Macaca mulatta: one gene and its partner. The protein of the gene in region 1 interacts with the protein of each later gene in a biochemical or structural test. Links are inferred from orthologs where the notes say so. Each region holds a gene or a part of one and is shown on either strand. Other genes may lie near its edges.

Evidence for each region.
Region 2: the proteins of EYA2 (region 1) and SIX1 form a complex in vitro, tested with the Homo sapiens proteins (2 studies listed by IntAct, with this or other methods). The link is inferred for Macaca mulatta from reciprocal best matches to the Homo sapiens genes EYA2 and SIX1.

What each region holds. Positions count from the first base shown.
Region 1 is NC_133415.1:99,877,793-99,881,435, reverse strand, and holds part of EYA2 (protein phosphatase EYA2), read right to left. Parts: intron 3,515-3,643; coding exon 3,337-3,514; intron 1-3,336. UniProt on the Homo sapiens protein: Functions both as protein phosphatase and as transcriptional coactivator for SIX1, and probably also for SIX2, SIX4 and SIX5.
Region 2 is NC_133412.1:133,780,087-133,784,251, forward strand, and holds the start of SIX1 (homeobox protein SIX1), read right to left. Parts: upstream 2,930-4,165; 5' UTR 2,431-2,929; coding exon 1,871-2,430; intron 1-1,870. UniProt on the Homo sapiens protein: Transcription factor that is involved in the regulation of cell proliferation, apoptosis and embryonic development. Plays an important role in the development of several organs, including kidney, muscle and inner ear.

The sequences.
Region 1 (3,643 bases):
CCAGTGATGGAAAATTTAAGGGCTAAAATCAGTAGCCACACCAAGAACCCCAGGAACAAAACAGGTGGGTCTTCCCTATTGTTCCTTTTCTAACAATCAACCAATTAATATTTGTTGATGACTGTCTCCACACCATCGTGCTAGCTTAGCTTCTGCAAAGCCCTACAAACATCAGCAGGTTTCAGAAAAGAAGACAAAGGAACAAAACTCAGTGATACCTACTGACATTCTAATGTATTGCCGCCATGTTATTTAATGTTGATAAGCCAAAACCATCTTGTAAAAGAGAAGATGTGCATAGCAGGTCTGGGGAATGAATGAATGAATCCATAGGCTGGTGCGTTAGTTGCATAGGGATGTTACACACCAAGTTTTGTGACCACAGAGGGGTCAGGACATGGACTCTGTCACATGTTGCTCTTAGCACAGGTGGGATCGATATCAAGGTTGTGGACATTTATTGTTTTTACTCATCCAGTGCCTCTTCTGTCTTCTTGTAGTTACAGTGCTCTTGGTTTTTTGAGGTGATCACCTCTTCCTCACTCTCAGTCCCTGGTGGTTGAGGTGAGACTGACCCCAACTCTAGCTCCAGCCATAGGCATGAGCCCAAAGTCTGCTGCTTCATCCAGCATTCCATTCCACTGACCACAGAGATTGGTCTGGGGATGAGCATGTGATATAAGCTGGGCCAATGGGAGCTTTACTTGGGACTTTTGCAGGAATGGCTAAGAAGGAGGAATTATGTTTGCTGGGGTGGATTAGCAGACAGGATTGAGCTCTTGGTAATTGGTGGCCATCTTTGCCACCATACGGGAGAAGCTTGGCTGAGAATGAAATGAACCCAGGAAAATTCAGAGCCAGAAGGAAGAGAGAGACAAAGTCTCAACTTTATCATTGGAACACCTAGACCTAGCCCTAAACCCTTGAACATCTTGGTTAGAAATGCCTAAAAATTCATTTGTTTTTTCTTAAACTAGTTTGAATTGGATTTTCTATATCTTTTGAAGCCAAAAAATCTTGGCTAATCAAAAGGGTTTCCTAAAACTATTGTGCCATCAGAAACAAACATCCTTAAGGACAACTCTATTAAATGGGCAAAGGACATGAACAGACACTTCTCAAAAGAAAACATACATGCAGCCAACAAGCATATGAAAAAATAATATCACTAGTCATTAGGGAAATGCAAATCGAAACCACAATGATATACCATCTCATACCAATCAGAATGGCTATCATTAAAAAGTCACAAAATAACAGATGCTGGCAAGGTTACAGAGAAAAGAGAATGCTTATACATTGTTCATGGGAATGTAAATTAGTTCAGCCACTGTGGAAAGCAGCCTGAAGATTTCTCAAGGAACTTAAAATGAAACTACCATTTGACCCAGCAATCCCACTACTGGGTATATATCCAAAGGAATATAAATTTTTCTACCATAAAGACACATGAATGTATATGTTCATTGCAGCACTATTCACAATAGCAAAGACATGGAATCAACCTAGGTGCCCATCAATGGTGAACTGGATAAAGAAAATGTGATATATATAAACCATGGAATACTACGCAGCCATAAAAAATAAGATCATGTCCTTTGAAGCAACATGGTTAGGGCTGGAGATCATTATCCTAAGTGAATGAATACAGGAACAGAAAACCAAATACCACATGTTTTTACTTATAAGTGGGAGCTAAACATTGAGTACGCACGGATACAAAGAAGGGAACAATAGACCCAAGGACCTACTTGAGGGTGGAGGATGGAAGGAAGGTGAGGACTGGAAAACTACCTAGTGGGTACTATGCTGATTACCTGGATGACAGAATTATCTGTACACTAAACCTCCGTGACATGCAATTTGCCCATGTAACAAACCTGCATGTGTACCCCCGAACCTAAAATAAAAGTTGAAAGAAAAAAAATGAACATGCTTCAGGATGTTTTGAAGGATTCTGTAATTCTTGAGGACCCTGAGTTGCTATACTTGAACCCCTCTTAGACAAAGAATCAATATTTGAAGGCCTCTGCCCTTCTGTTCTCAAATGAGTTTTAGATAACCTATTCCTGGCTGTGTACGGCCAGTGCATAGCAGGAGTGCTGGTTATGGAGGCCAACAAACTGGGGTTTGGATCCCAGCTCCGCCAATGACTAGCAAGCTCCTTATCATTCTCATCTTCATTGTTCTTATCTAGAAAAAGGGTGGGGATAATATCAACCTGTTTTTGTGAGGATTATGCCTCTCCTTATCGCAGTTTTTAACGAGGTATTTGTATGATTATTCGATTCCTGTCTGCAAAGCTTAACTCTACATTGCACTTTATTTCCCAAACTAAAGGGAGGGCCTGAAATGCAGCAGGTGCTTAACAAATATTTGCTGAATAAATATATAAGTCAGTGATTAGAGAAGATCACACAGGTATATGCTTAGCACGAACCAGATGGGTAATATTTTATTATTTATTTAATTTTTTGAGATGGAGTTTCACTCTTGTTGCCCAAGCTGGAGTGCAATGGTGCGGTCTTGGCTCACTGCAACCTCTGCCTCCCAGGTTCAAGTGATTCTCCTACCTCAGCCTCCCTAATAGCTGGGATTATAGGTGTCTGCCACCACTCAGGCTAATTTTTGTATTTTTAGTAGAGACAGGGTTTTACCATGTTGGTCAGGCTGGTCTCGAACTCCTTACCTCAGGTGATCCACCCACCTCTGCCTCCCAAAGTGCTGGGATTACATGTGTGAGCCACTGCACCTGGCCAGTAATATTATAAATACTACCAGGCTCATCAACTCCAAGGCCTACATGGGTCAGGCAGTAATGAACATGGGGTAAGCTGGCTAGATGTGGAATTGGGTGTGTCCTTTCTAAAAAGAGCAGACACACTTAGTTTTAACCAAGTGATGTTCCTTGGGAATGTGGCTACTATGGCCAGATCTTCTTTCAAAAGAAGCCAGAAAATAGAATTTTTAGGTATTAATAAAATTTTCTGACTTTTAAACACAAATGCAATTAAACACACGCACAAACAGGCCAACAAAACATGTCTGAGAGATGGATTTAGCCCTTGGGTAGCCTGTTTGTTACAACCAGGACCCATATCCGGGTCCCTCCTTCATAGAAGCTGTCAGGCCACATCCATGAATGACCCTTGGGTAACCTGTTTGTTACAACGAGGACCCATGTCTGGGTCCCTCCTTCATAGAAGCTGTCAGGCCACAACCATGAATGACCCTTGGGTAACCTGTTTGTTACAACCAGGCCCCATGTCCAGGTCCCTCCCTCATAGAAGCTCTCAGGCCACAACCATGAATGGCCCCACCAGTGCCTGCACCTACCGGCAAGTGACTCGGAACTCTGGTTGGGGACGTTGTGAGATGCCTCCTGGAGGACGTAGGTGGACGTGGACAGGGGCGAAGGGCAGATGCTGCTGGCCGGGACGTAGGGAGGGTTGTAGGATGAGCCGTAATACTGGGGGTACTGGCTCTGGGGGAAGCCAGGGTAGGAAGGATAGTCCTGGGAAGAGAAAAACAAACCAAGGACATGCGTGAGGAAGCCTTTCTGGGCTCGGGTCGTTGGTCAGCCTGGCTGCTCTGTCAGATCAAAACGGTTTCCTAAAACTTCTGTGCCATCAGAAACAAACAT
Region 2 (4,165 bases), on another chromosome or scaffold:
GGAGGTGAGGAGTCAGAGGAGCCTGGAGAAATGGAGAGCTACAGACAGAGCCTCCTGTTAGGAGCCAGGTCCTTTTCTCTTTCAGATTTCAGAAAGCGATAGATTAGCAGGATTTATTTGAAACATACAAAATATATGTTTTAAATTTTGTTCAAGCAGTTACATTTAAATACATATCAACTAGCACCATATTTAAATGTAACTAACTTTGAAAATCTTTCAATAGATATTGGTGATAAAGAAATGATAGAGGACAGAGTCCAATGCACAAATGTTTGGGGTGAATCAAGTCCATTGCCTTGTTCCCATATGAGGAGACAAACATCCCGTTTTCCTGCCCCAGCCCAGAGTTGGTGGTTTTGGAGACACAGGACAGGTCATGGGAAGTGGTGCCCAGAGCGGCCCAGTGACCTGAGTAAACACAGGGAGCGCAGCCAGTCTCTCTGATTTCATCTGGAGTCGGCCCTCGGGCCTGGCTTATAGGACGGCCGTTTTGCAACTAAAGGCTAACTGCAACCCTACAATCCCCGATCCTGTGTTACTTGCTAACCCTTCAGCCCCTCGTGTCCCCCTCTCAAACTTCCTACCAACACCCACCCTAACCCATCCTTTCTGGGCAGGGGAAACTTCGCCGCCCGGCACAGGCTGCCAGCGGGCGCCGCGCTCTGGGGCGTCAGTCCCGGCACTCGGTGCCGGTTAACTTCAGGATTCGCTTCCCTTGCCGCTTCCGCCTTCCGAGTGCTCGCGGGTCCTCCCGACTCCTCGCGCCTGTCTCCTCCTTTCTTTCCCCTTATCCTCACAGTCTCTGTCTCCCGGCAAGCCCATTTCAGCAGAATTTATCCTGGCTCTGGTTTTCCACTAAGCAAGAAAGGAAGCAAGATCTTCCGCCCCCAGTCTTGGAAGCGAACAAAGGAAAACCTAAGCGGCCCCTGCGCTCAGATTTCCCCCCAACTCTTTGGCTTCGCAGAGCGCTCTCCCCGCCACAGCCACCTCCCCACCGTTCTTCCGAATCTCTGTCGGAAACTCTACAGAGAACAGAAGGAGCCTGGCCAGGTGGCCGAAGGTGTTGCCCTGAGGTGGGGGAAGGTAGAGACCAATTTTGAAAACATTGCCTTATGAGCTCCAGTGCGAGAGAAGGCTGCGAATGGAGACCCTTTCCTCGTCTGGGCAGGCAGCGCGTTCAGCCAGACCGACGGGCTGCAGTGCCGGGCCACGCGCGAGCGAGCACGACGAGGATCAACCCTTTCTTAATTTGGGGCGCCGGGGAGTAAATGCAGCGCCAACTCTCTCCAGAGCTCTCTTTTTGGTGTGTTTTTAAAAGACCCCGCCCTTTGTCCAGCTACTGAGAAATGAAGCAGGCGACCCCTAATCCAAAAGACTATCGAGAGCGAGCGGTGGAGAACCCGCAAGGAGTGGGGGCAGAGCCAATGTCTCAGACCAGCTTCACCCCTCTGGGGAGCGAAGAGGAGAGAGGTTCGCTAACCTCAGCTCCCACCGAACTCCTTTCCTTGCGACGCCAATCAACACTTCATTGCCCGTTGATTTAGAAACTCACTCTCCACCCACCACTCCAAGCCGCGGCCAGCCAGGGAGGCATGAAAACCAAACCTAGCGCCAATATTTCCCGAAACTCACATCCCAGAGAAACCCACGCGCGGGTGCTCAAAGCAAATGAGGCCCCATTCTTAGCAAGGAACCTCAGAGTTCATGAACTTTCTCTGCAGCGCTGCGGAGGCCTGCGCGCCGCCCCGTGGACGGGCTTCGGCCGGCCAGGAGGACTTGGTGGCTGGTGCCTGCGGGGGCGGGAGGGGGCGAAGGGGAAAGGAAGGCTTCCTGGGGTCGCCCGAGTCGCGGGAAGCACGCCGCGTACCTTTCCTTGGCCTCCGCGGCCCGGTCTCTTTGCCTCCGGTTCTTAAACCAGTTGCTGACCTGCGTGGTGGTGAGGCCGGTAGCTTCGGCCAGCTCCCGCTTCTCGCGCGGCGAGGGGTAGGGATTGTGAGCGTACCACTCCCGCAGGACACCCCTCGACTTCTCCTTGAAGCAGTAGCTGGTCTCCTCGCCGTCCCAGATGGTGCGCGGCAGTGGAAATTTTCGGCGCACCCGATATTTGCCCACGGCGCCCAGGGGTCGGCCGCGCAGCTTCTCGGCCTCCACATAATGCGCCTTCAGCCACAGTTGCTGCAGTTTGGGGTGGTTGTGAGGCGAGAACTGGTGGCTCTCCAGGATCTTGTAGAGCTCACGGAAGTTGCCGCGGTGGAAGGCGACCACCGCCTTGGCCTTGAGCACGCTCTCGTTCTTGTGCAGGTGGTCGCAGGCGGGCAGTGACCACAGGAACCTACCCAGGCGCTCCAGGTTTCCGCCTTGCTGCAGAACCTCGCACACGCATGCCACTTGCTCCTGCGTAAAGCCAAACGACGGCAGCATCGACATGGCTGGGGCCTGCCGGGGCGCAGGGCCCAGGCGCACGCGGCAGGGAGCAGAGCCGAGAGGCAGGGGGCGGCGGCCGCAGGGAGGGGGCGCGGCTGTTCCTAACCTCCTCCTTAGGCTTTGCAAAGGCGAAAACCCGAGTCAGAACTTGGAGGTGGGCAGCCAAGCAAGAGAAGGCGGAGGAGTAGGGTACGCTCTGAACATGGAACCGCCGGCGCACTCAGTAGCCTTTAGGGCCTTGCTGCCTCCGACCTCCCGCCCGGTGGATGCTGCTAGTTGCCGGGGAACTTGGTTTCTGTTCTCCCCGCAGCGGCCTTAAAGCTCGCAGCGTCCCCGGCACGCTGATTGGCTGCGGGCGGCGCCTATCCCGGGCTGGCCAGCCAGCGCGCCGCCCGGCTGGGCAGAGAGGCCGCACCGCCCATCGAGGCCGCACCGCCCAGCGCGGGGAGGGCGAGGCTGAGGAGCTGGGGGTTGGGGGTGTTGCCGGGGCTGCGCAGGGAGGGAGTGGTGGGAGGAGAAGGAAGAGGAAAGGTGGGAAGCCAGTTGGGGTCTGAGGGAGCTGCGCTGCGGAGGTGTGGGGAGATAGAGAGTGGGTGAGCGCGTCAGGACCCTGCAGCGCGGGACCCGTCACCAGTATCACCTAAGGGGAGTCGCGCAAAACTCCGCACAAATCAATTACTCCAAACCTTAATTCCTCCCCTCTCCCTCCGTACTCTTGCTTTCATCCCTTACAAACTTGCCCTTTCCCGGTGAGCTCATATTTAATTACTTTAATGTTGGAATGAATAAATAATGGATTGATGAATAGCTTATGGAACGCGATAAATAATTCAAGAGCAGACCTGGGTCTCCGCATGCAGCCTCTGGAGCAGTGGCTTCTCTTCGGGTTGGCTTCAGCTCGAGAAGCCAACCCTATTTCCTTCCCCCTCCCCCCACCAACTCCCACTGTCCTCCCCCAGCTGCCGCACACCACCCTCCAAAGGGCACAAGTACTCCCAGTCGGACAGCGTTTCCCTCATTCACAAAGGACGTCCATGATTTGAGACCAGGCAAAGAGGTGTTTCGGGCATACTTGCTGAGCACCTAGAGACTCCGAGCGTTCATTTGTGATTTGGTATCTTAATGTTCTGCGGTTGAAACCAGCAGGTTCCTGAAGCTTCTAGACTCAATTTCCCCCATCTGTGCTGTTGCGTTTTCCAATGCCACTTCTGCTACTGAGGAATGCCGAGAAGCTTTACTTGCTATTAGCAAAAAATGCTTTGGGAACCTCGTACGAAAGGCGCTGGATGTGGTGTAAATTAAATAAAATTGTGCCCGGCTCCAATAACCGTCCGGTTGTAACATAATCCTTACCCTGCTCTGAGAGGGACACTGCCCTCAAAGCGAGGACGACAGCGGCTCCAAGAAGATTAAATAAAGAGGGGTGTGTGTGTGTGTGTGTGTGTGTGTGTGTGTGTGTGTGTGTGTTGCAATGCTGGCCTATTTTGCTGCCAAGGAATGAGAGATGTACTGCAATTTAAGTCCCATCATCTGCTGTTTTGTTTATGTGTGGAGAATGCTTAGTAAAACTGCACAAACAAATGAAGTTGTAATTATCTTAAGCCTCATTTGCACACCTGGTTCCAAAGCAATTATTAAAAAGATTTTGAAGACAATTAGCCTCTCTAAACAAAGATAATCTATTGTCGGTAGCTGAGACCAGCAGGAGATAAGAACAATGCGTGGAGATAAGGGAAGC